Linked DNA regions of Xenopus tropicalis. The protein of the gene in region 1 purifies or fractionates together with the protein of each later gene. This does not show direct contact. Links are inferred from orthologs where the notes say so. Each region holds a gene or a part of one and is shown on either strand. Other genes may lie near its edges.

Region 1 (5,255 bases):
TTGCGGCCCTCGGTACAATATTTTGTGGCCCGCACCAACGCCAAATGAATGGATCGCGATTTTTATTGCGATTCAAGGGATAATGCAAGGCACGGCGGGCGGGAGCTGCTGATTGCGGAAATGGCGTTATGCCATCATAACAGTTATTATGGGCTAATTGTGCACACAGAACGTCTTCCCATAATAACTGTTATGATGGCATAACGTCATTTCCGCAATCAGCAGCTCCCGACTTTTTTTTGTGAAATCCCTTATGCAGCCCAGCCTCATCCTGACTTTGCCTCCTGCGGCCCCAAGGTAAATTGAGTTTGAGCCCCCTGCTCTAGCAGCTGAATAACCAGCCCTGGCACATAGGAGCCTCTAGCAGCTGAATAACCAGCCCTGGGACATAGGAGCCTCTAGCAGCTGAATAACCAGCCCTGGCACATAGGAGCCTCTAGCAGCTGAATAACCAGCCCTGGCACATAGGAGCCTCTAGCAGCTGAATAACCAGCCCTGGCACATAGGAGCCTCTAGCAGCTGAATAACCAGCCCTGGCACATAGGAGCCTCTAGCAGCTGAATAACCAGCCCTGGCACATAGGAGCCTCTAGCAGCTGAATAACCAGCCCTGGCACATAGGAGCCTCTAGCAGCTGAATAACCAGCCCTGGCACATAGGAGCCTCTAGCAGCTGAATAACCAGCCCTGGCACATAGGATCCTCAAGCAGCTGAATAACCAGCCCTGGCACATAGGATCCTCAAGCAGCTGTGGGTTAGTGTGAACACTGGCAATTTCTTCATCTTGTCTTGTTTATCCGTCACGCAGGAGCACCGGCGAGGGGTATAAGTGCTCAATGCACCTAATGGGCATGAAGAGAGCCTTCAGGAACCCCCAGAGGATCACTCCCCAGCTGAGATGCATTTGGGTGCCATTGGACTGAATAACCAGCCCTGGCACATAGGAGCCTCTAGCAACTGATTAACCAGCCCTGGCACATAGGAGCCTCTAGCGGCTGAATAACCAGCCCTGGCACATAGGTGCTTCTAGCGGCTAAATAACCAGCCCTGGCACATAGGTGCTTCTAGCGGCTGATTAACCACATAGGTGCTTCTAGCGGCTGATTAACCACATAGGTGCTTCTAGCGGCTGATTAACCAGCCCTGGCACATAGGTGCTTCTAGCGGATGAATAACCAGCACTGGCACATAGGAGCCTCTAGCAGCTGAATAACCAGCCCTGGCACATAGGTGCTTCTAGCGGCTGAATAACCAGCCCTGGCACATAGGTGCTTCTAGCAGCTGAATAACCAGCCCTGGCACATACGGTAGGTGCTTCTAGCGGCTGATTAACCAGCACTGGCACATAGGTGCTTCTAGCAGCTGAATAACCAGTCCTGGCACATAGGAGCCTCTAGCAGCTGAATAACCAGCCCTGGCACATACGGTAGGTGCTTCTAGCGGCTGATTAACCAGCACTGGCACATAGGTGCTTCTAGCAGCTGAATAACCAGTCCTGGCACATAAGTGCTTCTAGCAGCTGAATAACCAGCCCTGGCACATAGGAGCCTCTAGCAGCTGAATAACCAGCCCTGGCACATACGGTAGGTGCTTCTAGCGGCTGATTAACCAGCACTGGCACATAGGTGCTTCTAGCAGCTGAATAACCAGTCCTGGCACATAAGTGCTTCTAGCAGCTGAATAACCAGCCCTGGCACATACGGTAGGTGCTTCTAGCGGCTGATTAACCAGCACTGGCACATAGGTGCTTCTAGCAGCTGAATAACCAGTCCTGGCACATAAGTGCTTCTAGCAGCTGAATAACCAGCCCTGGCACATAGGAGCCTCTAGCAGCTGAATAACCAGCCCTGGCACATAGGAGCCTCTAGCAGCTGAATAACCAGCCCTGGCACATAGGTGCTTCTAGCAGCTGAATAACCAGCCCTGGCACATAGGAGCCTCTAGCAGCTGAATAACCAGCCCTGGCACATAGGAGCCTCTAGCAGCTGAATAACCAGCCCTGGCACATAGGAGCCTCTAGCAGCTGAATAACCAGCCCTGGCACATAGGAGCCTCTAGCAGCTGAATAACCAACTCTGGCACATAGGAGCCTCTAGCAGCTGAATAACCAGCCCTGGCACATAGGAGTCTCTAGCGGCTGAATAACCAGCCCTGGCACATAGGAGCCTCAAGCAGCTGTGGGTTAGTGTGAACACTGGCAATTTCTTCATCTTGTCTTGTTTATCCGTCGCGCAGGAGCACCGGCGAGGGGTATAAGTGCTCAATGCACCTAATGGGCATGAAGAGAGCCTTCAGGAACCCCCAGAGGATCACTCCCCAGCTGAGATGCATTTGGGTGCCACTGGACCTGGGCAGCACCAGCAATCAGTGTAGACTTCATATTAGAAGTGTTTTTATACAGCCAATGAATTTGTAGAAAAACTTTTTACTTTTCTAACTACAATGTAGTCAAATTTGGTAAACTCCCAGCTACTGTTTCCAGCAGAAACCCTAGCACTGCAGCTGCGATCCAACACACCCATGTCACAGCCTAAAGCAACTGGCCTATCGAGTACAGAAACTGGAACAGCTACACATCATCAGCTGCTGGTTAAATCATTGCAAAATCCCAGAGTGGCTGAATGACAACTTCCCTATGTATACACAGTGCCCTGAGTCACAGCAAACACCCACATTTAATCCATGGCACTGAGGCAAAGGGTAGGGGTCCAATGCATGGTATGAATGGTACTGGGTGTTTAGGGGGACCCCTGCTAATTGCTTGGCATGGAAATGGCATTGTGTGGGGATGAGCTCACTGGACAAATGCTTAGTATGAATGGCAATGTCACTTTGAATTGTGTGAGGGAAGAGAAGCCCCCCCCCCAGGCTCACTGGTTGGTACGACCCACACAGTGTGGTGTAGGGGAGGGGCCCCCGGCTGACGATGAATGGCACAGTCCGGTGGGAAGGGGAGGGGTCTCAATATGAAAGCACAATGTATGGAAGGGGAGGGGCCGAGGGGCTATCAGGGAGAGGAGCAGCTTCCCCTGACCTATAAGCTCATTCAGTAGTGACGTGACAAGCAAGGAGATAGCTGGTCAGACGGCTCATACAAGCCACCGGGCCTAGCTTTCCCTATGAGCCTTCACAATGGATCAGCACAACCCTGCCCACACCTGTGCCTCAGGCAACCACCGCGGCACTCTCCCGCCGTCCCTACCCCCCATAGATATCACTGACCTGGACGTCTTCATTCCGCAGCTCGTCAATGAGCACAGCGATAGGATATAAAGAATCATCCCCGTCTGCCGCCGCCATCTTGTTTCTTCCTGTCAGTTAGAATGAACGGGAGGGCGAACGGGGGCGCTAGTGCAGTCCTGCAGGGGCATGGACGTGACGACACTAAGGGGGCGGGTGTTGTTCCTAGCAACGGCGGAGGGTTCTATTGCGGCATACGAGAGACCGTCGCTAAGGAAGGGAGGAGTTTCGATGCATGACGTTTAAGACGTAGCGGCGCCGACATATTGGTTGGGGCATAAAGTGATGGCATCTTAGTAACAGTTCTACTATTCCAGTATTTTCTGTACCATACAGAGGGTGGATAGATTCTGTGGTGAATTACAGCATTAGCCAGTATTACTTGTTTTGCCAGGCAGTTTTTGAACATTCACTTTAGGGGCCTTTCCTCAGGGGGGACTTTTAGTTTACACAGGAAAACAATATAATGCCAACCTAAGCTTTCAACGTATGGTACAATATTTATATAATTCGAATTCTGTAACAAGATATAAGCTTCTAAATGTCTAAAAATGAAAAAATAAAATTCCATAATATAAACACACATACCAGAAACAAAAATTTATTTTATTCACGAAAATACAACTGATTTGGAAAATCCCATGTCTCCTGAATGTGCCAATACCAAATATCCAGCAGTACACTACCAAATTCCCAAAGCACTGCTCCAGAAAGCTGCATACTTTAGATTTTAGGGCCATAAATTCCACTAACAGAAGGTTTATCCCAGAAAATTGTACATTTTTGGAAAGAACAGATTCTGGGGAATCCAGAATAGGTACAACTGTCTGTCTACTCCAAACTATCAAGTCGCAATGCTTTCCTAAAGTTATTGGTTTTTATCAAAATATTTAAAAAATCGCTTCAAAGCTTCCAGTCTATAGTATCTTATCTCCTACAGGTCATAAAGTAACCAAATAAAACACCCTAAATATGAACGCCAGGGGCAACTGAACAGTTTGATGCCCAATATGTAAAGGTTTAGCTAAGTATGTGGCATGTAGGGGCCCCAATGGGAACATACCCCCATATGATCTATCATTTCTGTCATCAACACATTTACATCATTATATGTGGAATAAAGCTAGTAAAAAGTACACTCACCCCAGAAAGTCATATATTGTTGAAAAGTACACATCCCCCCGAATCTAAAATGGGTACCCATGTCTTTCTACTCCAAAGTACCAAGCCGCAAAGCTTTCCTAAAGTTGGCAATTTTGATGACATTTCCAAAAATACCCTTGTAGCTTCCACTTTGCAGCATCTTATCTCCCACATATCATTAGGTACCAAGATAAAACACCCTAAATTTTAACGCCAGGGGTCCACTGAACAGTTTGATGCCCAAAATGTATAGGTTTACCTAAATATGTGGCATGTAGGGGCCCCAATGGGAACATACCCCCATATGTATTGTCATTTCAGCTCCTGCAAAATCAATACATTTACATTCTTTATGTGGGATAATCCTACAAAAAAGTACACTCACCCAGAAAGCCATATATTTTTTGGAAAGTACAAATTCCCCCAAATCTAAAATGGGTTAACATTTCTTTGTACTCCAAAGTACCAAGCCGTAAAGCTTTCCTAAGTTATGCAAAGATATACCAAAGTCTGCGGTATGTACTAACCCCAAAATGAAAATAGTGCATATGGATTTCTCGCCTGCCTACTCAGCTTTTGCACACAGTATAAGTCACACAACAGTGTAATTAGTGGTCAGAATATGTAATCCAATAGTCACGCTGTCAAAATAAACAGTTTTTAGGGAAAAGAAACTAAAAACAAAGTGGTAAAATGAAAAAAAAAAAAGTTTGTGTATACAAACTTTTTCCAGTGCTCAAACGGGACATTATTGAGTTAGAGAGGGTCCAGAGAAGGGCAACTAAGCTGGTAAAGGGTATGGAAAGTCTCAGTTATGGGGAAAGACTGGCCAAGTTGGGTCTGTTTACACTGGAGAAGAGGCGCTTAAGAGGT
Region 2 (4,560 bases), on another chromosome or scaffold:
CATCGAGCCTCCGAACCACTGGTGGGCTATAATAAATCCGAATGCCTGTCTTGTCTGGCGCCGTGTAGCTTCTCTGTATGTGCTTCTGCCCATCCACACGATTATCAGCCTTGGCCATCGTATAATCCCAGGATGAGATCACCAGGTTACCCTTGGGAAGATGTCCGGCCAGGGAATTGTCATTACCCTCATATGAACAATGTTTTTCTGAGTTTTTAGAACCGTTGACCAAGAGTGTAGAAGCTGGTAGACCTCTCCTCTCATTGGCATTTTCGCCATTAGCAGAGGATGTGTTGTCGTGCAGAAAGGGGGAACAATCGAGTAAACTTTCAAACTCTGACATGGAAGATACAGATTTGGTCCTAAAGCAAAATTGAACAGGAAGTGAAATGCTATATTTTTATATTCAACTTTTATATTCAGACACATTTTCTACATAAGCAACCGATTAAAGGAACAGTTCAGTGTCAAAATAAAACTGGGTAAATAGATAAAAAAAAATAATGTTGTTCTTGTTCATAGTTAACCAAAAATGTAATCTATAAAGGCTGGAATGAGTGGATATCTAAAGGTCCCCATACACGGGCCAATTGTAGCTGCCGATATTGGTCCCTTGGACCAATTTGGCAGCTTATCGGCCCGTGTAGGGGCAGAAACGAGGGGCCTGCCCGACTGATATCTGGCCTGAAATGGCCAGATATCGTTAAATTTTAAAAGATTCAGTCGGATCGGGGACCGCATTGGCTCGTTGATGCGGTACCCGAACCGACTGCTCATTGCCGCCAATATAATTTGATCGTTTGGCCCCAGGGCAAAGCGATCAAATTAGCCTACACGTTCCCGATATCGCCCACCAGTAGGTGGGAATATTGGGCGAAGATCTGCACGCTTGGCACTCTCGCCAAGCGAGCGAATCTTCACGTGTATGGGGACCTTAACATAATAGCCAGAACCCAACTTCCAACTTTCAGCTCTACAACCTCTTAGTTTGTTAGCGACTTGAGGGGGGGCCACATGGGACATAACTGTTCACTTAGTTTGCTTTTGATTCTTAGCACCCAGGTCAGATTCCAAAGCAAACGGTTATGTCCCATATATCTACCCCTCAAGTCATTGATTGGTTACTGACATTTAATAGGTTAGAGAGCTGCAAAGGAGGAAGCCAAGTCCTGGCTGGTATGTTAGCCAGCCCTTATGGATTACATTTAGTGCTAACTACATTGAAAACATTTTTTATTTTGCACAGTCTATCTATTTTCATTTTTATACTGAACAATTCCTTTAAATCATACACACCAAAGACACCACACACACCAAAGACAAACTAACTGATACTGGTACAAGGGCTCAATGGATGAAGGTTACAAAGTACAGGAATGGCTAAACAGCAGTACCAATACACCTTACCTTTTTAAGCTGGTCACACTGGCATCGGAGTCACAGTCACAGTCACAGTCAATGTCTTTGTCCTGAAGTTTATTGCTGACAGCCTAGGGTAAAACAAGCACAGGATTTATATGGGAAGGCATATCTGTTGGCATCATGCTCTTTGACATGAGAACAAAGTCACAAAACCCTACTTATAACCCCCTTACATAAAGCTGTAATAAAAAGTGTTTGCCCAGGTGCAGTAACCTATGAACAACCAATGAAATGTTTGGTTTTAAACAAGTGGCCAGTAAATATTACCTGTTGATTGGTTGCTATGGGTTATTGCATCTCGGCAAACTTAAGGGTCCTCATACACGTGAAGATTCACTCGCTTGGTGAGATCGCCAAGCGAGTGGATCTTCACCCAATATCCCCATCTACGGGGTGGGCGATATCGGGAACGTGTGGGCTAATGGGCCAAACGATCAAATTATATTGGCGGCAATGGGGCAGTCGGTTTGGGGACCGCATCAACAAACTGATGCGGTCTTCGATCCGACTAGATTTTTAAACCTGCCGGATCGAGATCTGGTCAATTTCAGGCCAGATATCGGTTGGGCAGTCCCGTCGGTAGTGCCCATACACGGGCCGATTAGCTGCCGAATCAGTCTAAGGGAGCCATATCGGCAGCTAGAATTGGCCCGTGTATGGGCACCTTTAGGTGGGCTTATTTATTACACGCTTGGCAAACTGGCACTTGGAAAGTAAAGGCAGATATGCATGCAGATTCAATAAGATGCATCTTTTTCGCTGTAGGAATGAAAGGGTTAAGAGGCATGTCTGAGAGCAGCTGTGGAACTATAGAGTTACCATAGTCTTTCAATGTAGGTGGCAGCTGTTTGGGGTCAGGCCACACACTCCCCTGACAATTAGCTAGAGCTGCCCAAAAGCAAGGTTGTTTTATTTCTCTATGCCACAAGCCATCTGGAATAGGCAGCCGAACCAGAGGGTTGGGGGGGACAAATTATGCATTTGGGTTGATTTCAATTTATCTACACAAAACAAGCATGTCCGATGGTTCAAAAGCAACAGCTTGATAAGTGAGAGGATGTTCTGTGGTGGAAGGATCTATTTTTGAAGCCCCTGCTTGATGCAAGAGAAGCCTTTTATAGCAAGGGAAAGCAGCACATGCAACAATATTTGTGCCGTTTAAAAGCGTAGGAATGCACCTACATTTGTTAGGCCTGGAAACTGCCACTTGTATTTGCTTTAAACTACAACTCCCAGGATCCCATGGTAGATGCATGCTGGGAGTTGTATTGCAATTAATATATATGGAGGCTCCCAGTTTTAAGAACCCAAATAGAATAAGCTCAGTGGGGGTACTATATAGGCAGTTTATTGGGCTTGAAAAGTAGAGAACTATTCTCAGGTGTGTGATATTTACCCTTAAAAATATAAACAATAAATGCTAAAGCATCAGCGTAGGACTAACTGTAGGATGGACTGGCCCCTAAGCAAGGGGTGGGCAAACTGAAGCCCATGTACCTGCCATAGAAAATACAGCAGGAGAATACCAACTTGCTCACCTCTTTCCAGCAGCTGCTCCTCCTCTCAGGTTCTTTTTTCACCCAGGAATCTGCTTCCTTCTGCAGTCAATATAAAACAGGTACTGTTATATGGTATACACATGGCAAAGGCACAGTTTTATAGAATAGTAATAGCCATTTCCTAATTGGTTGCTGTGGGGTAATGGATGCAAAAAAAATGCACTTATAATCTACAAGCCCCATGAATAGGATCAGGGTATGTTGGTGCTGGAGAGGATATTATTATAGGATTCTATATGTTTGTTATAACTAGTGATCCGTCCCGTTTTGATTTGGCAAAGAAATTAACGAAACTGGGAAAAATCAGCAAAATGCAGGTACTTGCACAAGTGTGCCTTTTTTTACATGCCCGCAAATTTTTTGTGGCAAAACAATTTGCCAATGGTGACATGCGTAATTTCACTGCAAAACCATGCCTGGCAAAAAAAATTCGCTCATCATTAATTAATTAGATTGTAAATGTTGATACTTTGGCCACTAGAGGGCACTATTTCATTAGTCTGTAGTAATCAAGGCTGTTTCAGTTTTATATATATATATATTATATATATGCAGAAATCCCCCAGATCAACATTTGCTCCTGAACATTTAGATGAACTATATTATATATATATACTGGAACAAGGACAGCACTCCTAGGATTCAAAGAATTGTGAGCAAAATGTAAATGCCAAAATAGAAAATAGACGTTTCAGTCTCACACAGAAACCTTCATCTGGAGTGAAAAACAAGATGACTCCAGATGAACGTTTCTGTGTGAGACCGAAACATCAAGTAATAAACATTTCTATTTTTGCATTTACACACACATATATATATTATATATATATATATATATATATATATATATATATATATATGGGCAGAATTGCAGTACTATGTATACCTCTCCCACTGATTCGTTATGATTTTTCAACTGCTGCCTGACTGCTAGGATAACAAAGCCTTAGCAATTAGATAGCAGTTGAAATTCTATACTTCAGTAACAAAAGAAAAAACTATACATTCAAATGCATTTATTTATTTATTTTTTTAAGAAAACTGCTTTCTACACAACCTGTTTAACATCTAACTTATTCGGGATAGAGCAGGATAGAAGGCTACATTATATGCCCAAGCAGTTACTCTCTCCAGCTCCACATTTCTATTTTTATACCAGCAAGATAATGAGGCCTCTCTGGCTGTTCTGTTGCCTGTAATGCTACAAGAGATAAGAATATGATTCCACTCAGCGCCACCATCCCACAAACTATTTATACTTTGTTTTGGAGTCAGAATTTTCCTTCCAGCAAGTACTGGATACACAGTCATTTGTGCTGCGGGGGGGATAAAGGATTTGCATCATTTGGATCTATTCTATAAACTCAATTCAAGCAAAATGAGGTTACGGTTAGATATGGGGGGGCAGCAAGCAGCACTAAGCAGGGATTAGCCTGCATTTGAACAAGACTGCCTTTTTGGGGAACAAATGTATTTAATTTCAACTAAATAAAAAGTTGGTAAAAACTAATTTCTCCAAAGAAGGAAACAAATAATTTCCAAAAGCTCTGTAAACTAATGGCACCTTCCATTTCTAAGA
Region 3 (4,560 bases), on another chromosome or scaffold:
TGTAGCCCTTACCAAAGAAAGGCTGTAGTTCTGCTACTAGGCTCTAAACCTGAAGTTATTAGCATCTACGGGTTACATGTTCTTTCCTGATTACCATTATCTTTAACCTGTGTTTGTAGTAATTAGACACTGGTATACAGTTTCCATGGATGCCTACCCAGGGGGCAGCTGAATGTTCTCCGGGTGGTGGTAGGTACACAGGTTTAACACAGCGTCCAGAAGCTGAATTCTTTCTATTCGAAGGACTTCCAAGTCTGCGGAAGTAAAAAAAAGTTCAAGTTCCTTAATTGCTATAACTTTACAAAAAGACAACCTTTGATGGCATAGCCAAATAAAGTTCCCTCATGTTTCCTTTACCCCTCTACGTGCTTAAACCTTTTACTCTATCAGTACCTTGTGTTGCCAGTAGACATGTAGCATGGCACAGAGCATCAACAGCTTTGGAACATAGGTTTTGTACATTCTAAGATCCAAAGCACTTAAAGGGCTTCTGTGCCTTCTAATTTTCCTGGTGAATTATGCTTTGTTTAAAGGGAATACCAACTCTGGTACAATATTATTGCATATCTATGCCTAGGACACCAGAAAATCTAGCAGTTGTGCATGATCAAGAAATTTTCTTTACACCCTTGTGCAGATAGCCAAATGCCATCAAGCTTATTCTGCTTTCAGAATCTTGTCAGGACATTATAACTATAAGAGGTCTAAGTGAGATCATAAGGAAATTTGTGGTAAACTTGTTTTTGGAGACCAATGTCATTTTAGGCAACTGTGCACTCAAAGCAGCATGAAAATAATGATATTATCACTTGTTCATATTTCCGTTAGACATATCCAAAGGGGTGGGAGGAGGAACACAGAAATAATAAGGACATTTTTAATTCTATACATGACTTGCTCCCATACCATCAGCCTGCACTGCTGCTGCCCGCTTCACCAAGTGATCCGCAAGCTCCATGGCATCAGCTGGGCCTAGAGGAAGATCACGGGATAAGCCAATAACCAGGATTCTCATCAGGGTGTCTTCAAGCAGGGGCACTTCAGAGCAGAGGCGCAGGAAGAAGCTTTTAGTTAAAAAAAGGGACACAATAAAATTAAAATTTCAAGCTCAGCAAGATTGTAGATTTGTTATTCTGGTGGGGACAATGATATAATCTAGAACAGCTTGACTCAGAGAAAATAACTTTGTCTCCCTATTTTACAAGCACCGGAATGAAAAATGTGCATGCTTGATGGCAGGGAAAGGGTTAACACACACCTGTACGCATAGGTATTCATAAGTTGTCGTTATCATTTATTAGATAAGCCATTAAGTAATGTTATATTTCACTGGGAGCCCTAGAATATTACTTTCTGCCTCTTTCCACTTTTATGCATTTGTGCTTCAGGAATTCTATATCAGTTTAGAACAGTACCATATATTGTTCATTGCTTGGTGGTGGTAAAGTTAAAATCTATTGAGAATGGCTTGGCCGAAGCAAGGGATTAATTTGTTTTGCAGTGCATACTGTGAAATACAATCTAAACAGATGATAAACCCAAGTCACAAATGTGTTTTATTATCCATTAATGTAACTGACAATTCAGCACACAAGCAATGCTGCATGACAGAAGGAAAAGGGAGAACTGAATGTTCCGTCAGCCAACTAGCACAATCAGAATAGGCTTTGTCCTTGTCATTGTGGAATCTACCATATTGCATACAGCTGTGTTTGTAATGCCCAATGCAGTTTAGAAAGAGCAGTCTCTCCTCTGGTAAGTGTTCTCAGTATTCCAGCTAACTTAAGTTTTCCTATAATGACAGTTAGCCAGTCACTAAAGTACCCAACCTCATGAAAGGTGCCTGTGGCTCTAAATAAAATCATTAATCAGAGCAGACTGTCTTCGGTTACAATTTTTCATAACAATGCTGGGGCTATCTAAGAGAGTAATAAAGGAAAACCAAAGTACTGAACACACAAAAAATTTAACTATGGTTTCGTACTTGCGATCACTTTCTGGAGGCCAGTTGTCCCATTTGTAGTAGGTTTCTGGTTGCTCTGTAAAAAGCACCTTGTGGAGACTTCATTAAAAAGAAATATAATCTGAATTAGAGTGCAATAACAACACTGGCAACTCCCAACCACCTTAGCATTGTACAACATTTCTATTCTTTTCATCCACTGAGCTGGGTTATTGTATTAATTAAAGACGCCAACCCCTAGTTCCCAAACTATTGAACTACAACCCCAGAAAGCACTGACTGATGTCAGTGTTTTCTGGTGTAAATCAGCTTGGGGGACAAAGTATAGAAACTTTGTCTCTAAAACAGTTTGTGTTTCTAAGACATTACCAAAAGCAAATTGTGCATTTTTAAATAAGTCATGGATTTGTGATTTTTTATTCTAAAATACAGAATAACGCTGTATGTGGATTCTAACTGCACATTAAATCACTTAGAGTAGATAACCATAGGCGTTGCTGCCATGAGGTGTGTTTTACAGGGTACAGCCACATCTCATGTAGCAACAGTATTATTAAGTCTTTTTCAAGTGGACAAAAGTAAATTCTGAATGCATTACAAGCAGAAAAAAAGTTTACTTTTCTTCTGCTCGGAATTTGTTTGCATCTCTGCAGACACGAATATATTCTGCTCAACAGGACAAACTATTTAATGTAGTGTTCTCAAATCAGCCACATGGGTTCACACTGCCAATCAAGTTTGAATGAACAGTTACCAGAATTTCTATGTAAAAGTCACCACTGGTTACTGGTCAACCTGGTTGCCTACTATTTATTAATAATAGAACATTAGCAAAGACTTAAAACTGTGGAGCAGAAGTTCAGAGGTTCCGATTCTAAACTTGCCACACACTGGAAGTAACGTTGAGCTTGATGCTGCAGAATACTTTTAAAGATCATTTTCAAAGTATGAAAAAAGTGGTAGCTCTTTGGCGTTAAAAAAAAATCAAATGGGGAAACTGCAGTAAAATAAATAAAAGTGAGGTATACCAATGCACATAATCTTTAGGAGATAGTTTGCAGATTGTAGGAACTACAGTGTGGAGCCACCATACTGCATCACGCTGAATTGCAGCAATTTGGTTCTGAAAGGATCGCAGGACCTCTAAATCTGGAGGAGAAAAAAAAATACAAAAGCAAAGAAATATAAGCTGCTGTATACAAAGCCAATCCAAAGCAAATCAATAGCTATCCCTGGAGTGGAGGAAATATTCAAGATTAACTCATTAAGTCTTCCTGTCATTAGCTTGGAGCTAATTTAATCTCAAGGGACAAAATAAGTTGGAAATGAAGAAAATCATCATAGCCCAATGTCATTAGAATAAAACTAGAGCAAAACAATTCACCAGAATAAAAAATAGTAATCATCATAAAATGATGAAGTTCAAAATCCTTAATGAAAGAAAGAAATAAAGACCAATTAAAAAGTCGTTAAGAACAGGCCATCCTATAACATACTAAACGTAAAGATACCAAGAAAAAAATGGTAAAATATAGCAAGGGCATCCAGCAGCAGTTACTATGGATACCTATGTATATATGTCTATATAGATATATATCTCTTTGGACAGAAGAACAGACATACATACATGCAAAATTAAAATATTTAATTTAGCAGTGTATTATTCAAGCAAGGAGAAAACCTTATGAATTAGTCGGCTGCTCTAAGTTGGAGACTGGGTCATCGTATATGACAGCTGGTTTCATTTTGAAAATGTTCCAAAAAAGTTCTAATGGACCTCAAACTTGCTTCTCCTTGACCGACAGGCTTCACGTCCAGAAATATCTATCACAGCAAACAACCATTCACCAAAATATCACTGTTATTGGTCTTCATAGTGTACCTGACCCATCCACTGCTGTGGCTCTGATAGAGGGCTTCTGGGAATTTCTAAGGCTAAAATTTGCATGTTGGTCTTTAATAGACACTGTTCTGTTGATGTAACTGCACACAGTCAAACAATAGTTTTCAGTGTATTTAAAGATCACAAGTTTACCAGTAATTAAAAAGCCAGAGATAATCTGTGACAGTTGCATTAAATATTACGGGGCTTCATTTGGGGAGGCCTCCCATATGAGGAAAGGACACCTTTAACAATAAATACAGCAAGGCTTATTGAGATGTGATGTGGTTTTTCAAAAGTGTCCAAGACAAAGTACAGCAAGCAGAATTCATACAATGTACTTTATTGCTTACTCTTCTTTTCTCCTTTGTCCCATGCAACGCCTGCCTCCTTCACTTGTGCTGTTATCCCCAGCATCATGGATACAGCCAGCAGATCTGTGATGTGGATTACAAAACGCTCCTAGAAAGTAAGATGTAAAGCTGCTATCAACTGATGATTAGTGCTTAATTTAAGATTACTGTGGTGTGTGCTAATGTAGAGGGATTAAACAAGGTGTTGTTAAGATTAGTAAAGCCATAAATATATCAAAAGACAGAATATGCTCTACTAAACAAAATACTTAGTATGAAAAGCAGTTGTTTAATTTCCCTGTATACCTTAAATTCCATATCTGTGTACTGAGCTTCCTTCCTCTCCTGCATTAGCCCTAGGC
Region 4 (4,560 bases), on another chromosome or scaffold:
CAAACCTTGTCAAAAAAAAGATCCCTGCTATCTGTCTATAATGTCATCTAATGAACTTGATTTTATTTTTAGAAAAGAATAAACATTCTATGCCTAGTACCTCTCAAGACCCCAAAAATATTCCACTGAGCATAGGTTGTTCTCCTGAGATTCAGGTGTCTTTGACATAACTTATTCTGCCTCTGAACAGTATGGGTATGAGAATCTGGATGTTATATGTGAAAGTATTAGGCATGCTCTGGATCTGACACTGCTATGCCCATAAGCCCACCAATAAAATCCATGTAGAATTTTTATAGAAAGACAGGAAGAAAAACATTTGTCTGTATCTTAGTAATTTTCAGTTCTATACTGGAACCTTAGCAACAGACCACACATTTAAGACAATACATTTTTGTGTTATATTAATAGTGTTGTCAATCTGAGGCAAGTATACAATATATTATATTCTGTTTCTCCAGTCAGAGCTAAAAATATAAAGCCATACCATCTGTTGTCATTTTCCGTGAATGCCCGGATGTTGTTGTTAATCTGAATCCTGCTGGCAGTGTTTCCGAAGAACCTGGCATCATGCTGATTCCGTGCACTTCACGTGGTGGAAACTGCCTCCTCCAGGAGGGCCCACGTCTGAAGTTCTTGTCATCACTCTAGCAATACAAAATATGACAAAAATGAAACCGAGTCTGAGTTTTCTTCAGTAAATTTGGTTACAATGTTTTTTGAAAGTCAACAAGCTCAAAAATGGCCTTTGTGTTCTTATCCTTAAAGCAGCATGGCTGAGGGTGCATGGAATAGTGAAAAAATGAGTTTGCCTCATGTTAATTTGCCCAAAAAATTGCTCTTTTAAAAAAAAATAAATAAAAAAAATTCAGTACAGGATTCTGATGTGTGTTAAAAAACAGATTCCTGAATCTTTTGATTTCAACACCTTATTTGCTGCTTTATTATGAAACATTGCTCATAGCACTAATGAATCAACAGTTTGAACAATTTAGCTGTTTACCTCATCAAGGCGCCTTTCAGTTCCCAAAGCCAATAAATTATTGTATTCTCTTTCCAGGATCTGCCGTGCCTGAAATATTCAAGTGAGAATGATATGAACTTCCTCTAATAGCTTTGGATTAGTCAGTGTGTTAAACAATCTCTAGTTTAATAAAATACAAAACATATGACAGTCAAATACAATAACATTTAATAATGCCCCTGCCGAAAAGCCAAGACAAAGACTGATTGAATTAAAATTAGATTCAAGGGGGGGAGGGATATTTGGGAAAATAGTAATGGAAAAGGGAGGAAAGGATAAAAAGAGAAGAAGAGAAGAGAGAAATATAAAAATAGGGGGATAAAATGTAATAGGAACAAACAAAACTAAAGGGACAAGGGAAGAGAAGAGAGGAAAAGGAGTGAAGATAAGATGGAAAAGGGAGAATTAACATGCACAGGAGGAAATGGAGCACCCCTTGCTGTTATAGCAGGTGTAGTCGATCTATGTTAGACTACCCCCTTTTATTAAGCTGATAGATATTATAGGCATTTAATACCTATAAAATGTTCTAAGAAATAATTTAAGATTTTGGGGGTGATTTATTAACATTCAATTGATTTGATTTTTTTCATGATTCAAGTATTTTTTCTTTAAAAATTCAAATTATGGGTCAAAAACGAATGTCTGCTATTTATTAAGTGCAAAATGCTTGACTGTACAAATTCTCCCTCTAAAAGCACCAGTAGTCCATCATCTAAAAGCGAGTTTCTATAGAAGTCAGTGAGTGTTGCCATGTTGGCAAACCTGAATTTTCGAGTTTTTGGAATTTGTAAACTTGCAAAAATTTGAGGTATTTGAGTTTTTTATTCAAACAAGTTCTCCTTATTAATAAGCAAACATTTGACATGCAGGTTTATTCGATTTAAGAAAATAATCTTGAATTCATAAACTCGAAAACTGATAAATGAGCCCATTAATGTAAATCAAATCAGTGTGGTATAAAGAGGATTAAGAGTCTCACCTGAGTATTTTGTGTTGGGATTTGTAACAAAAGAGCTAAACTTGTGTAGTCAAAGTTCTCATCCAAGGCAATAAGTGACCCGTGGATTCCACTCTCCAGTATGTTGTTTGCATAATCTCTAAGGCCTATTGCTTGGATCCAGCGAATCACACGATCATTGCTCCACACTAACACATCTACAAATAAAAACATTTTTCAATTGGTGTTCATTTCGTGTAAAAGAAATGTACAACTACAAACTGTATTAGTGTTTTGTATACTCTGTGTCAGGTGTGTTACATTTGTATGGATTGTATATAAATTATAATGTGGCAAATTGCAATTTCATATTGCAGCATCTGCTTTTTACTAACAGGGAGGCATGAATTGTACAGCTGAAGAGGCCCTTGTTATTGATGTCCTATCAGACTCATTGTAATGTTCTGCTCTTTAAAATAACACAAGTATTTAAAGGAGACCTGTCACTCCTACATAAAAAGCTGTATAATAAAAGTCCTCAGCAAATTATAAAACCCAAATCCTTTTTTTTATTCTAACATCTGTAAATGTCATTCAAAATCTGAGCTGTCATATCACCTGAGGCACGGAGGAGGGCAGTAGATTACTTTCACTTTCCCTTCAGCACTCCCTAGATGTCACTGCACCCCTCACATTCCCCTCCCTTCTTACAGTCTACAATTGTGTGCCTATGCATTGACATAGACATCAGGTCCCCAATTCTGGTGCATAAACAAGATTTTGGCATGATGCAAAGCTAATCTTAATAACAAAATGGCACCTGTCTGCTTGTGAATGTCTTGTGAATTTCAAGACTAAAGGAAAGAATATTTGAATAATTTATATAGTAATTAAAGTTTATTTTGCTCAAGTAACATGATAGAAAAGTATTTTGAATTATTTCTTAAGGTGTCAGGTCCCCTTTAATTGTTCTGATTCGGCATATGGGGACGGCTTGCTCCTGCAACACTGTACATGGGGGTTCCCAAAAGATACAGAAAGCTAAGGTAACAAGGCAATGTCCTATAGTGATCAATTTGTGTCACTTTTGATCTTTGCATTTATGTATGTTTGATAAAGACACTACTTACTTGTACAGAAATATTACAAACATTTATTGAGCACTTATGCTTGGTATGCTAGATGTAGTAACATAGCAGTAAAATGACATAGTACTTTAAAGTACAAAACTCCATAAGTCCATCAAGTTCGCTTTTTTTGTCTAAATAAAACCTTTGCCTCAAAAGGGGAAACATTCCTTCCTGTCCCCGTGATGGCAGACATTAATGTCCATACAAGATTTAACCAACAGAAATTGTTTAGGAAGCTATCATTCTAGAAACATTCTATTAAGGAGACAAGAGGGAATACATACCTTTAATTTCATGCTGGCTTGTTTCTCTTCTCCTTTCCAGCTCCTTCCTATCATAGTTTAATTTTTTCAAGCACATTATGCCATACTGCAAACTTGTTCTGTGAATTTTAAGACAAATGAAAAGACAGTATTTAGAGATATTTGCAGGGTTTATATGGGTTTATATGTAATATTTTTTAGGATCTGAGTGAATATTTTTTCTGAATATATATATTCGGTATTTGTGCGTCCATGGCAGGTGTTTTAAAATCTATACAGACTTCCTGCTCAGGCATTCACAGCACTGTAATTGCTTAGTGGCACCAGAGTAGTTCCACTCAGGCTCATGGAACATGCAGCATATTCTCTGCTGGTGTTTCCCATTGGAAGCAAAGTAACTTACCATACAGCATGTCATTTGTTTTAATGGAAACTACCTGTTACCAGCTGTTTTATCCTGAAAACTAGTGATGAGCGAATTTTTTCGGCAGGCATAGATTCACAGCGTATTTCCGCATTTCGCCATTGGTGAATTGTTTCTTGAAACTTCAGAGAAAAAAAAAGTTGTGGTCGTGGCAAAATAGGTGTCAAAAAAAGGGTGCTGCCGTGTAAAAAAAAATCATGCGACACACATGTTTCGCTAATTTTTCCGCAAAGCAAAATGGGACAAATTCGCTCATCACTACTGAAAACACATAGGCTGTTGCAATATCAGGAGCAAAGTTTGCAAGACTTATTATCACCTATAGAGGTCTGTTAGCAGGAAACAGTTACTGGGCACCTGTATAAAAGCAAGCATCGTATTGGCTGCTATGGGTTACTGCTCCTGGGAAATGTTCCTTTCACTAACTATAGGGGCAAGTGTGCCATGAGCCTTAAAGCCAATTATCCTACTGAAGGAAAACTACTATCAGAGAGCTGACTTATACTTTGGAATTTATCAGGTTCCTTCACGTGTGAAATAAAGGCATATACCAAACTGATCATTTCTATCAAAATAAATGTAATTATATTCAAACACAAACATTGAAAAGAATAGTAAGACGCTATCAGTGAATAACACTTTTATATAAACCTACCGATGAAAGCTATCCACCATTTTTAAGTGCACTCGAAGATCTTTTTTTGTTAAATGGTCTAGCATCCGGGCATCTACAAGGCATTCCATGAAGTAACTTCTGTACTGCGGTAAGCCCAGACTAG
Region 5 (5,141 bases), on another chromosome or scaffold:
TGCTTGGTCAGTGTGTTACTAACCACCTCCCGATACTTTGCGTGTAGGCCCAAAGCATAAGGGTCACAGAACTTTTTCCCAGCACACATCTAGGACATTTAGCCATTTAATAAAGGCTTATGGATGTATCATCCTTTCAGGTTTAAAGAGTCAAACAATGAGAACTCTAAAGCCTCCTTACAATTGTCATTTGGCACAGTGCCCAGGTCCTGTATCAGATATACAAATTGCATAATATTTTCTACCATTAGCTGCTATTATTTTTTCACATCTTACTGCCAGTTATTTGAACCTTTCCCGAAAAGGAAAAAAGAAAGGTTAGGATTCATCCCTTACGTGTAACTCTCAGGATATTGTAGTGCAAAACCTTATGTTTAAATAGATGTTTACAGATGGGGGAAACTCCCATCTCCTCTGGGTTACAGAGGGAGAGAAGTCCTGAAAAATGAGGACTTTCTGCCCGTTATCCTTATACACTCATCCCATCCGCTATAGTCTTTGTGCTCTGGGCAACTAAGGGGTCCGGGCAGGGTGAAATGGGGCACCCCTCTGTCTAAGCAGGAAACTCAGAACAATGGCATCCATTAGGAAGGCCCACCCACCGGAAGTCCAATGTCCCCATGCTTAAACTGCCCAAGCTTGATGTTTTTTTTAATGACACCTCTTCTCTGCAGGAAGTGGCTGCAATCTGTCATTTTTAGATGGGATTAAACTATTACACAGCCAGATATTAGTTTGCCCAATCTTGGCAAACTCATCCCAACCTCAAATACAGGATTTAATGGTTTTCTTTTACCTTTATGTCTTGCCAGTAAGGGCCTCCTTGGGTGTATATGAAATAATTGTATAGATCATCCCTTTGTTGGGAGAAATAGCTGTCTGACTTGATGTTCACCATCCAAGGTCGTCCATCCCCACGTACTCGCAAGTACAGAGTGTTAAAGTTGGACCAGTCATAATGCAGCTTACGATTGAATGCTCCCTACATGTTAAAAACAAACAATCATGAAACATTTATGTGCATTGATTTATACCCTGAGGTTTTTGCAATGACAGATTTATTACTCTGGAGAAGACAGGCCATGGTTGCAATCACACATGTGAAATGTTATTTGTTGGTAAAGCCAAGCTGGCAGTCTGCTAACGTTCATTATTATCTGGCCACTGGGGGAGCTGTTACATTAAAGTTTATGGAGATAAATACTTAAAGAAAAACTGTCATGGGAAAACATTTTTTCAAAATATATCAGTTAATACAGCTTCTTCAGCAGAATCCTGCATTGAAATACAATTTTTTAAAGCACAAACATTTTTTATTTTGTATTTCACATTGGGTTAGACATATTCTTCATTTCCCAGGGTGCCACAGTCATGTGACCTGTGATCTGATAAACTTCAGTCACTCTTTACTGCTGAGCTGCAAGTTGGAGTGATATCCCCCCTCCCAGCAGCCGATCAGCAGAACAATGGGAAGCGAGCAAGATAGCAGCTCCCAGTAGGTATCAGAATAGCACTCAATAGCAAGAAATCCAAGTCCGGCTTGGGACTCCTCCAGTTACATTGGAGTAGGAGATATATTAAGTTACCTGAAAGCAGTTCTAATATGTAGCACTGGCTCCTTCTGAAAGCTCAGACACACAATGCACTGAGATGGCGCCTACACACCAATATTACAGCTAAAAAATACATTTGTTGGTTCAAGAATAAAGTGTTAAATGGTAGAGTGAATTATTTGCTATGTAACCAGTGTAATTCAGAAATAAAAAGTATGCCATAAAAATCATGACAGAATCCTTTTACCTAAAAGAGGAAATAAATTGGAGGTAAACCATGCATATTTCATAAAAATTGTTTATAATGGAAATGGTAATGGTCCACTCCAGTAAGTAACAAAAACCAAAGGCCGTTGGCCCTCCAGCTATAAATCTCCAGCTTTCCCTAATGGCCACTGTAGTTTGATGCATGTTGCACATACCTACCATTAAATATTCAATAAACAGACTGTGCACACTTAACTGGTTTCAATATAAAATGTAGCAGTTCACCAACATTCTCATTAGTCTTTTATTTGGAACTGCTATCAGATCAGTCTAAATATTAAATAAAGGCAGTGAATAAATGGTACAGTGTAGCCTTTAAACATTTAATAATGAGCACAGCAACCCACACCTTTACTGCCTTTTATAGAACATTTCCCCCTGACACTGCCATATATTTAACCCAATATATAAAAAGGCAATAATTTTGCCTAGGTGCCGTAACCCATTAGCAACCAATAAAATGGGTAGAGCTATTCTAAAACAACAATAATAACTATTTGGACAGTTATTATCTGTGTGTAGCTTCTGTTCCGCAGCTCTTCTGTGTTGCATAGTAACCACACTGTTGTTAAGAGGGACAGTGGCTCAAGGGCAGAGGCTAAAACACAACAATGCTTTCCTATTGCAGTTGCATTGAGTGGCTTATCTAGCTTAAATCTGCCCATGTATGGCCTTAAGTCTGCCCTACAGACGCCTGGGAAAGGTAATTAAGCCATGTAGCACTGTGTATTTTTCCCAACAGTAGCACCAACCCCAGGGATAAAGACATAGCAATTTTATTCACTCGGGGGGCGCCCAACATATTGGCATCCCACAGTGAATTTGCTATTCCTTCATATTTAAAAGTTACATTTAAAAAAAAAAAAAAAAATTTATGAACACTAAAAATATTTAGCAACAGATGTGATTCTTTAAGTTCAGCTTTAGTATGTTACACTGTAGACTTATTTGTTACAACTTTTCAAGTGGTTTTCAATATTTTTTAATCATAGTTTTTGAATTATTTGACTTCTTCTGGCTCTTTCTGGCTTTCAAATGGGGGTCACTGACCCCAGAAGCCAAACTGTGTCAGAATATCAGTCTTTACATCAGACTAAAAGTAAATATAAAGGCGAACAACCCCTTTACATGGAAGTGCATTATTTCTCTTTACTAGCACTGTACTTACCAAAGGGGTTTTGGACTTCATAGTGCAGTACCCACTGTATCTTGTTTCGCCATCCCGAGGAACTTCAGTATTGAGGGTACCATAAAAAAGAGCTGTCTGATTGTTCCTTCCCAGCTTTAGAGACACCTGACTTTTCCCTCCTATCTCCTGGTCTGACGATAGAGTCCATTTGTCCAGATCCTCTAAGCTTCTGAACTCCCAAACAACATTTGTCTGCTCCAAAATATTCTCCCTCAAAGTCTTTCCCCCAGGACCTCTCAAATGATCCTCTACTTCCTTCTTCAGCAACCCAAAGTGTTTCTTCACTCCTGCCACTCCCTTCTCAAAGCTGAAATTGATCCTTTTCCAAGGAGGAGTGTTGTCTGGGGGGAGGCCAGGCCTGCGATATTTGCTGCTGTACAGTTTGCATTGCAAGAGTTGTGAAGACGGGTGCAACAATGGGCAGAATGGTTTAGTCCATCTGGGATGTCTGCACAGATGTAGCTTCTGTATTATATTTAAGCTTAAAGCCATTGCTGTTTAGATATAAAATAAAAATGTTCAGTTTATAAAATCCTGAATGTTGCATGAAACCCAGGGGCCTTTACCTAAAAATAATTTGGGGTTTGAGAGAAAAAGACAATATCATTTAAGACATTTAAATACAAATACATTTTTTAAAGAAATCTGTAGAAGTTACTGTGTTTTTCCTCAGGGCGCAATTATCAACATCAAAGATTCTTGGGGGGGGGGGGTTATTTACAAACATATCTGCACCATTGCAACCAACCAACATTGAATACATTACAGCAGTGGGGAGCATCAGGTAAGGTGTGAAGTTTAAGAGAGCAACTCGCTTGGGGGAAGGGACAGAGACATGTGCTAAGTAGGTATTGTGGGTTTAGGGCTCATACATTTCCTAGCAATGCATGCTGATACATATACAGAGAGATCATCATCAATAACCAAAAGGCTTACCCCTGGAAGCAGAAGCTTAGGAAGGCAAGGTCATCATTTCAGCAGAGACTGACATAACAAAAGAAGGTCAAGTTGGTGCAAAACAATGTAAATGACAGAAAGGAGCTTGGATACTATGTGCCTTTATTGCCTAAGTGGTAAAGCCCTGAAGGACCCTGCATAGCTGCCTGTACCGCAACAAGTTCCATTATATACCTGGTATGGGGCTGCAGCTGAAGCAAGCACACAGTATTACCATTATTCCATAAGGCTACAGCGGCTCACCTCCACAGTGCACTCCTTCAAGGAGCCATAGTACTGACAACCCGTGAACCTCTGAGCATGCGTGTCCGTGTCGCCTCCTAATGACCTCACCGCTAGCCAACCAATTAAACGTGAGAGCGGGCAGGCAAAGGCAGGCATGCGCAGATGCGTTGCTGATGGAACGCATGGGAAAGCGTTTGTATACAGCTTTATTTACACCTAACAAACATTCTTGAAGACAACGTTACAGATTAGTCTACCTAACTAAGATTATCATTCATCTATCCAGCCATCACGTGCATTCAAAATTATGAATTTATAAGAAACAGTGAGTTAAGAAGATCGTGTTAGTTTGTGTAAAAAGCTTAATACATATACCACATACTAGGCAATATTGCATCCCTTTTCCTCAGTTTTAAATATTATCCTTTATTTATATATCACTCATATATAAATGCAGCACATTGCATTGATTATGATACTCATCTGCCCCTTTGCCATTGGAGCTTACAATCTAAGGTCCCTATATCATTTACATACACTAAGGTCACTTTCATCAAAGGCCAATAAAGCTCACTGTATGGTTTAAGAGGAATCACAGTTCCCAGAGGAAACCCACACAAGCACAGGAAAAACATACAGTGCCCAGATTGGAACCAAATTCAGGGAGCCGTGCTAATTACAGGCCACCAGTGTAGTTTACATCATATGTCTTAAGTATTTACTATTAGGCCTTCAGTGCTACTTGGTGAAAGTAAATATCCAAAAAAGAAAAAACTGCCAATTGATGACCTGATTCATTCTCTGGATTGGCCACATTTTAATTAGCCAAATGGAGCAAAATCTTGTATGTGACCAAAACGTTAACAATAAAACTGTTTCCTAACACTTAGTAAGGCCTGTGAGTGCAGTTACTTTTTTATTGATTTTCTATATGTGTACATGAATGCATG
Region 6 (3,308 bases), on another chromosome or scaffold:
AGGTGAGCTGTTGGGAGGTACAGGTTTGCTGGAGGTCTGTTGGCTAGTGAAGCGGGATAACACCTGAGTCACAGTATTTCGTGCAAGTTGCTTGGCTGCTGAATTATCTGCCAAGGTTGGGGATAGGTCCCTAGAAGGGGGGCTCTGTAGACCAGTAACATGTTGATCGTGCTCAGCCTGAGACTGGAACTTGTGACGGGCAGCATGGAAGCGCTGGTTGATACCAACTTGGTAGGAAGATTGATAACCAGGACTGTTGGCTGTTGCTCCAATCAGACGACGTGAAAGCACTGGAGAAGAACATGGAGAAGAAGTTAAGGAAGAAGCTGCTGTACTGATGGGTGAGGAAGAAGCACCACTTGAGGGAAGATATCCTGTCATATGCAGAGGAGACTCTACTCTGACTGGAGAGTTCCCACTGTCAGAAAGGCTATCTGATACATTGCACTTTTCTTTCTGGTTGTCTCCCACATTTAATTTTAAAATGTGCTCATTGCTGTGTGCTGATGTATTACAGTGTCCATTTATTTTGGAATATGGCTGAGGAATCTTAGATGGAGCAGTAAATGAGACATTGGATTTTGCAGAATTATCTGTGTAACTTTTTTCATGTTGGAAGGGATCGGTTTGGCATGACACAGATACTACGTCAGCATTCTCTGTTGATACACAAATAGACACCAGCTCACTTGTTACCTTGCATGAAGGCACTGAAACTTGGTGGGTGGTGTTTAGCTCTTTCAATGTCTTTTTTAAGGACTCCAATTCTTCTTTCAAAGTTTTTGTGCGATTTTCTTCCCTATTTAACTTGGCTTTCAGTTGCTCTCTCTCAATATCAAACTCTGAAAGTTGCTTTTCCACCTGTGCTTCTATCTGCAAGCCTCGTTTCTTTTCAAGAGATAGCTCTTCTTCTAGCTGACTTACTCTGCTCCTAACCTTTTCCAGCTTTAGGTTAACATCATCTACTCTCTGTCCTTCTTCCACTGCCCTGTTGTTGGCTTTTGTACACTCTTTCATCAGCACAGATGACAGCTGCTTGTGGCGGGCTTTCTCTTCCTCCAGCTGACTGGAAAGTCGTTTCTGTTCTTTTTCTAATTTCTTAACTTGGGACTTCTCAAATTCCAGCTGAAAATATAGAGGCATAAAAATACATGTATAAATGTATGAATATAATATATGTGGGAATATAACAGTTTTCTAAAGAACAACTAAGGCTACATATGATTAGGCTAGGAATACTATACTTTTTCATTGTATTAGCATATATACGTACAGCATCAAACACTGCATTCATCCAATCTTTCTCTAGGTTGGATAATTCTGATTTCCACATTTACCTACTAAAATTACCATGATTAATTTTAGGGTTGGAATCAAAAAAAGCCTAACTGATTAAATCTCATTGAAGTTGTTGCCTATTTCTAATTTCACCTATTTAAATTTACAATAGTCAATAAAACACAGCTGAAGTCAGCTGAAGTAACTGACATGCTTTCGGCAGACCTGTCATTAATGGTTATTATTCAAGCTGTTCATGCGTACTTTAGTCATTATTTATACTGCTCCTTTGTCATTTCCATGTTTGCTTAAAAGGAAGCTATTTTACTGCTGAAGTGGGTTAAACAAAAGTAGTATTATGTTATATAATAATAGTTGAACTTGTAAGATCCATGGGCAGGGACCTCCTTAGTAGATTCTGGGACTTGAAGTCTCTCTGCTTCCTAGAGAATATGTGAACTGGCCACCATGTAAAGCAGAGGTCATGGACTTTTAAGTTCCAAAATCCATCACTTTAAGTTGAAACAAGGGAAGGGTGGAGTGGAATTGATACTCTGGGATGCTGTTTGCTGTTGTATTGATTATACAAAGCTCTATGCAAATTTACAAAACCTGTAGCAATGTGTGTGTATAGTTGACATGGATAATCAATATGAATCCCAACCCCTATGATGCTTAGGTTACATATGTACTTTAACATTTCTAAACTTTTAATATAAATCGGGGGGAATTCACAAAAATGGATATAGCCTTTTTTTGGAGCAAGAGTGATGGTAAAACTGGTGTAAAACACTTTCTCCATATTCACAAACAGAAATCCGCCTATATTATGACTCTTTTTAGTTTTAGGTGAAAGAAAGACAGTTTAAAGGCACTTTTGGGAATTTGTCTTTTAAACGACGTTTATATTACATTTTAACAACATTTTTTCCAACATTTTCACAATGGAGTAAAGCGCTGTGTAACTCAGATCACTTCTAAGCTCTTCTGTTTTGCTTTATTTCACCCAGTCTCCATTTCACACCTCTGGTAGAGGCATCATTGGGGAGGGGGGGTCACCAGCATATTAATGGTGGTTACCAGGCTATTGTCAGAGGACAAGTTTGTGTCTAACCCTAGAGCAATAGGTGCAACAAGCCCATTAACATTTTTATAAACAAGTAAAACACTGACTAAACAAAAAGTGCAATTTATACAATGTTACATATACAAAGTTTTTACCTCACATTTGCATTATTATCCTACTTTTAGCTCAATGAATCAAGTCAATAATAACATTATTGACTTGAATGAGTCAATAATAACATTTTGAGCGAATATATTGTACACATTTTTTATTTAAAGGAAAAGTAAAGCCGCCCTGACAAATCTTTAGTTTTAGCAGCAGTGTCCCCTCTTTAATCACTTCACTGACATATGCCACAACTTATCTGTGCCCCCATAGCAAAACTATAGAGATGATTGGCAGCATTGTCCCCCACGTTTAGCTGTGTACCTTCGGTTCACAGCTAAACTAATCTTGGTAATTAGCAAACAGCACGTGCACAATGGCACCCAAACTGGAATATTGGGGCACTGTGAATTCAAGGTTGGAATGGCCCAACAGGGCACTGGGAAAAAACCTAGTGCACCCTGATTCTGTTGGGCCCCTTTTTATCGGGTATGTTGGGGGGTGGACTATATTGCTGTCGACTAGTAATCAGTGAGGACTATAGAAGTAGTGCATGAAGAGGGTATTTAGACCCTTAAATCTTGTTAGAGAAATGAAATTACACAGAAATATAGAAAACATTAAAAAGCCCAAAAAATTATGTATAGATTTCCTTGTCGACTAAAATACCCCTTCAGGAAATGCCCCTAAAGTGAAATGACAGCAAATGAAATGCAAAATCCTTCTGTCAAAATCATTATTACAGGCCTCATGTAGATGAGAGATTTACTAAGAGCTAAAGACAAATTCATAAAAAAATGTTGGTAAAATTTCATTCAAAAGACAAAATCCGACCACTGTCTGTTTAAAAGACAAATTC
Region 7 (3,475 bases), on another chromosome or scaffold:
CATGGGATCTGTTTGTATTTCTGCTAGATCTTTTGTGTACATGGTGGGCTGTCACCCTCCATTCAGACATTGGATCAGATTAGAACTATTGACCGCAAGCAAGAAGTGCCTCATGATGGACCCATGTGTGACCTGCTCTGGAGTGACCCAGAAGGTAACGTGAAGCTTTATGGCATTATTATGGGATGTATCCAGCCTTATGTTTAGGGCTGTTTGCCAGTCGGTACAATGGCTTCCAGGCCTTCTGGAGATATATTATTAGATATCTTGTTCTATAGACTGCTGACTGTGCTCTCTCTCGCTCTCTGCCAGATACTACCGGATGGGGGGTGAGCCCCAGGGGAGCTGGATACCTTTTTGGCAGTGACGTAGTGGCACAATTCAACGCAGCCAACAACATTGATATGATTTGCCGGGCTCACCAGCTTGTCATGGAAGGATACAAGTGGCACTTCAACGAGACTGTCTTAACTGTGTGGTCGGCACCAAACTACTGCTACAGGTAAAGAGACAGTTTAATGGAGAGACATAGGATAAGGATAGGATAAAGGGGAAAAACCCTTACCCTGTAGGCTGGTTTCCTTTTAAACATTAAAGGAGACATATTGGATAAATGGGAAACCCCTAACCCTGTAGGCAATTATGAATAATATCCGGTGCTGGTTTCCCTTTGGGCTAAACATTAACCCTATCTGTAACAATGGCCCCTTTATTGGAGCTCCCTATAGATCCTCTCAGGTCCCTGTCTGGGTTTCAAATGAGGGGTGGGCGTGTCCTAACAGTCCCTGCCAGAAGCACAGTAGGAGGGGGAGAGCCAATCACAGCCCTGCACTCACACAAGCACAGACAGGCTTCAGTTCCCTATCAGGTCAGCCTAGCTGCTGATTGGTTCCTATCCTACAGTACAGAAACACAACTTTTTAAGCACAATCCTTCTATATCTAGAGGAGTATAATTCCCTGGTACATTCTTAATTTTTATAGGATATGTCTCCTTTAACCCTATCTGTAACAATGGCCCCTTTATTGGAGCTCCCTATAGATCCTCTCGGGTCCCTGTCTGGGTTTCCAGTGAGGGGTGGGCGTGTCCTAATGGTCCCTCTAGGAGGGGGAGAGCCAATCACAGCCCTGAACTCACACAAGCACAGACAGGCTTCAGTTCCCTATCAGGTCAGCCTAGCTGCTGATTGGTTCCTATCCTACAGTGCCGCCGGCCCCCCTGCACAGCCTGGGAAAGGAGGCAGCAGGAAGTGGGTTTTTGGAGAAATTTCTCAATAAATCAGCCCCAAACACTACTTTTTAAAGCCCATTCCTTCTGCATTTAGATGAGTACAATTCATTGGCACAATATTGGTTGTCACACAGTGTCCCCTTTAGTTCCGCTCATTGAGTGTGAGTGTGTGCCCCCCCGCAGCCTGACTCTGTGTTCTCTGTAGGTGCGGGAATGTCGCCGCCATACTTGAGCTGGACGAACACCTACAGAAAGAATTCATCATATTTGAGGCTGCCCCCCAGGAGACGAGAGGTATCCCCTCCAAGAAACCCGTCGCTGATTACTTCCTGTGACCCGCCCAATGATGGCCTCTGCACCATTTCCTCCTGATTGTCTTTTTGAACTGCTCCCAGCACAACTCTCTCTCCTCCTCTCACCTCTGGCAACGGGACCAGTGCTGCTGTTTCTAAACAAATGATTTGCCAGCGCCCAGCTCCGCTGCAGAGCATCGCCCCTTCTTTTCTAGATCCATCTCACGGAGCCTCGTGTGTGTGTGTATGTGTTAGGTAGCAACGGTTGGGAAGAGAGAGCTACCGCTGTGTATATAGCATGGCCGTGCCACCCCTACAGTGAATTAGCAATGCCCTGCCAGCTCTTCTAGCAAAGGAGGAGATATCCGGAAACTCCTGTAGCCGTGCTGCGCCTCTCAGGAAACTAGGTAAATGTAATGCTCTGCAGGACTTTCAGGGGGGGTCAGTGTGATGCTTTCTAGTAGGGAGAGAGGGGGGGGCAGCATTATGCAAGGAAACCAAAATACTTCTAGAATTCACAGCTTCTTCCTTGATTTTATAACCCCCCCCCCCCCCCAGATCCGCAGTCATTCCTTATAATGTCTCTTCCACTCGGAGCCTCACGTCCCCTGTACTAAGATGCTGAGCTTACACTCACGTACGGAGTGCCTTAGTGCAAGCGGGGCCCGGGCGCCCAATCCCAGCTGGGGGGGACCAGGAGAGACATGATGATGATGATGATGATGGAACCCGCCGCCCCTTCTCTATTTAGAAGCTGCGGCAGATCTAAGATTTGAGCCCCTTTTGGTGCCGATTGGCAACTTTTGAGCCAAAGTGTTCACCGTAGCTGGCCCCTGTAGCTCAGCGAAGCCATTCTGGGCTGCCGGGAACGTGAGTAGCCATTTTGTTTAACCCTTTGTAAGCGGCTAGCTGAGAGATTGCTTTGGCAAGGAGGCATCTAAAGCTTCAGCTCGTGTATTGCCACCTACAATGCCAAACCTCCGATTCCTTCCCTGGAACAGCCGATATTCCATTATAACTCCCTTCCTTTCGTCTATGGCCCCAGTCTCTTGTTCCGCACTCTTTCTGGTCAAAGATTTTATCCTTTTTCCCTTTTATTTTTATTTTTTTTTTCTTCTAATTTTACATTTTTGGTAGGATACAGTTAAACATCTGCTAATAAAATGAGAAAAAGCAATAAAAATGGAAAATGTATTTGTATATATTTATATGTTAAGTCTGTTAATGCTTCGGTTGGTCAGTAGAAAAGGGGCGGGTGTAGGACCCGTTATCCACAAAGCTCAGGGTATTCTAGATAAGGGGTCTTCCTGTAATTTGGATCTCCGTACCTTAGTCTACTAAAAAAAATTAATTCAACCAATAGGATTGTTTTGCCCCCAATAAGGATTAATTATATCTCCATTGGGGTCAAGTACAAGGTACAGGTATGGGATCAGTTATCCGGAAACCGGTTATCCAGAAAGTTCCGAATTAGGGGAAGGCCGTCACTCTGTTTTATTATTACAGAGAAAATTTAAATCGGTTTTATTTGATTAAAATGGAGTCTATGGGAGACGGGCTTTCCGTTATTTCGGGCTTTCTGGGTAACCGATCCCTTACCTCTACGTTGCAATTGGTCTTCCTTATTTATTTATTTATTTTTATAGTTTTTGGATTATTTGCCTTCATCAAATAGGGGTCACTGACCCCAGCAGCCAAAATCTGTTGCTCTGTCACCTTTTTAATGGCACTTTTTATTCTCATTCTGTTCAGCCCCTCTCCTATTCATATTCTGGTCTATTGAAACCACTGCCTGGTTGCTAAGCTACACAAGACCCTAGCAACCTGATAGCGGCTGAATCCCAAACTAGAGAGCTGATGAACAAAAAGCTAAATAACAAACTATAAGAAAAGAAGACCAATTGCAAATTGTACTTGTAAATTACATCATATGTAAAGTTAATTTAAACGTG

What was found.
Region 2: the proteins of ppp2r1a (region 1) and soga1 purify together in Homo sapiens (co-immunoprecipitation; 3 studies listed by BioGRID and IntAct, with this or other methods). This does not show direct contact. The link is inferred for Xenopus tropicalis from reciprocal best matches to the Homo sapiens genes PPP2R1A and MTCL2.
Region 3: the proteins of ppp2r1a (region 1) and ints1 purify together in Homo sapiens (affinity purification with mass spectrometry; 4 studies listed by BioGRID and IntAct, with this or other methods). This does not show direct contact. The link is inferred for Xenopus tropicalis from reciprocal best matches to the Homo sapiens genes PPP2R1A and INTS1.
Region 4: the proteins of ppp2r1a (region 1) and ppfia2 purify together in Homo sapiens (affinity purification with mass spectrometry; 3 studies listed by BioGRID and IntAct, with this or other methods). This does not show direct contact. The link is inferred for Xenopus tropicalis from reciprocal best matches to the Homo sapiens genes PPP2R1A and PPFIA2.
Region 5: the proteins of ppp2r1a (region 1) and ndufaf1 purify together in Homo sapiens (affinity purification with mass spectrometry; 3 studies listed by BioGRID and IntAct, with this or other methods). This does not show direct contact. The link is inferred for Xenopus tropicalis from reciprocal best matches to the Homo sapiens genes PPP2R1A and NDUFAF1.
Region 6: the proteins of ppp2r1a (region 1) and cttnbp2nl purify together in Homo sapiens (affinity purification with mass spectrometry; 6 studies listed by BioGRID and IntAct, with this or other methods). This does not show direct contact. The link is inferred for Xenopus tropicalis from reciprocal best matches to the Homo sapiens genes PPP2R1A and CTTNBP2NL.
Region 7: the proteins of ppp2r1a (region 1) and ppp4c purify together in Homo sapiens (affinity purification with mass spectrometry; 7 studies listed by BioGRID and IntAct, with this or other methods). This does not show direct contact. The link is inferred for Xenopus tropicalis from reciprocal best matches to the Homo sapiens genes PPP2R1A and PPP4C.

What each region holds. Positions count from the first base shown.
Region 1 is NC_030683.2:120,838,188-120,843,442, forward strand, and holds the start of ppp2r1a (serine/threonine-protein phosphatase 2A 65 kDa regulatory subunit A alpha isoform), read right to left. Parts: upstream 3,311-5,255; 5' UTR 3,300-3,310; coding exon 3,222-3,299; intron 1-3,221. UniProt on the Homo sapiens protein: The PR65 subunit of protein phosphatase 2A serves as a scaffolding molecule to coordinate the assembly of the catalytic subunit and a variable regulatory B subunit.
Region 2 is NC_030686.2:43,217,453-43,222,012, forward strand, and holds part of soga1 (protein SOGA1), read right to left. Parts: intron 3,021-4,560; coding exon 2,961-3,020; intron 1,491-2,960; coding exon 1,408-1,490; intron 363-1,407; coding exon 1-362. UniProt on the Homo sapiens protein: Microtubule-associated factor that enables integration of the centrosomal and Golgi-associated microtubules on the Golgi membrane, supporting directional migration. Preferentially acts on the perinuclear microtubules accumulated around the Golgi.
Region 3 is NC_030685.2:29,740,349-29,744,908, forward strand, and holds part of ints1 (integrator complex subunit 1), read right to left. Parts: coding exon 4,505-4,560; intron 4,308-4,504; coding exon 4,199-4,307; intron 3,113-4,198; coding exon 2,992-3,112; intron 2,063-2,991; coding exon 1,985-2,062; intron 1,065-1,984; coding exon 907-1,064; intron 255-906; coding exon 158-254; intron 1-157. UniProt on the Homo sapiens protein: Component of the integrator complex, a multiprotein complex that terminates RNA polymerase II (Pol II) transcription in the promoter-proximal region of genes.
Region 4 is NC_030679.2:52,676,026-52,680,585, forward strand, and holds part of ppfia2 (liprin-alpha-2), read right to left. Parts: coding exon 4,437-4,560; intron 3,477-4,436; coding exon 3,379-3,476; intron 2,183-3,378; coding exon 2,007-2,182; intron 1,073-2,006; coding exon 1,004-1,072; intron 648-1,003; coding exon 488-647; intron 1-487. UniProt on the Homo sapiens protein: Alters PTPRF cellular localization and induces PTPRF clustering. May regulate the disassembly of focal adhesions.
Region 5 is NC_030684.2:115,760,903-115,766,043, forward strand, and holds the start of ndufaf1 (complex I intermediate-associated protein 30, mitochondrial), read right to left. Parts: upstream 3,505-5,141; 5' UTR 3,504-3,504; coding exon of another isoform or gene 3,502-3,503; coding exon 2,989-3,501; intron 983-2,988; coding exon 797-982; intron 1-796. UniProt on the Homo sapiens protein: As part of the MCIA complex, involved in the assembly of the mitochondrial complex I.
Region 6 is NC_030678.2:60,505,059-60,508,366, reverse strand, and holds part of cttnbp2nl (CTTNBP2 N-terminal-like protein), read right to left. Parts: intron 1,126-3,308; coding exon 1-1,125. UniProt on the Homo sapiens protein: Regulates lamellipodial actin dynamics in a CTTN-dependent manner. Associates with core striatin-interacting phosphatase and kinase (STRIPAK) complex to form CTTNBP2NL-STRIPAK complexes.
Region 7 is NC_030685.2:2,447,659-2,451,133, reverse strand, and holds the end of ppp4c (serine/threonine-protein phosphatase 4 catalytic subunit), read left to right. Parts: intron 1-27; coding exon 28-154; intron 155-312; coding exon 313-502; intron 503-1,435; coding exon 1,436-1,565; 3' UTR 1,566-2,706; downstream 2,707-3,475. UniProt on the Homo sapiens protein: Protein phosphatase that is involved in many processes such as microtubule organization at centrosomes, maturation of spliceosomal snRNPs, apoptosis, DNA repair, tumor necrosis factor (TNF)-alpha signaling, activation of c-Jun N-terminal kinase MAPK8, regulation of histone acetylation, DNA damage checkpoint signaling, NF-kappa-B activation and cell migration.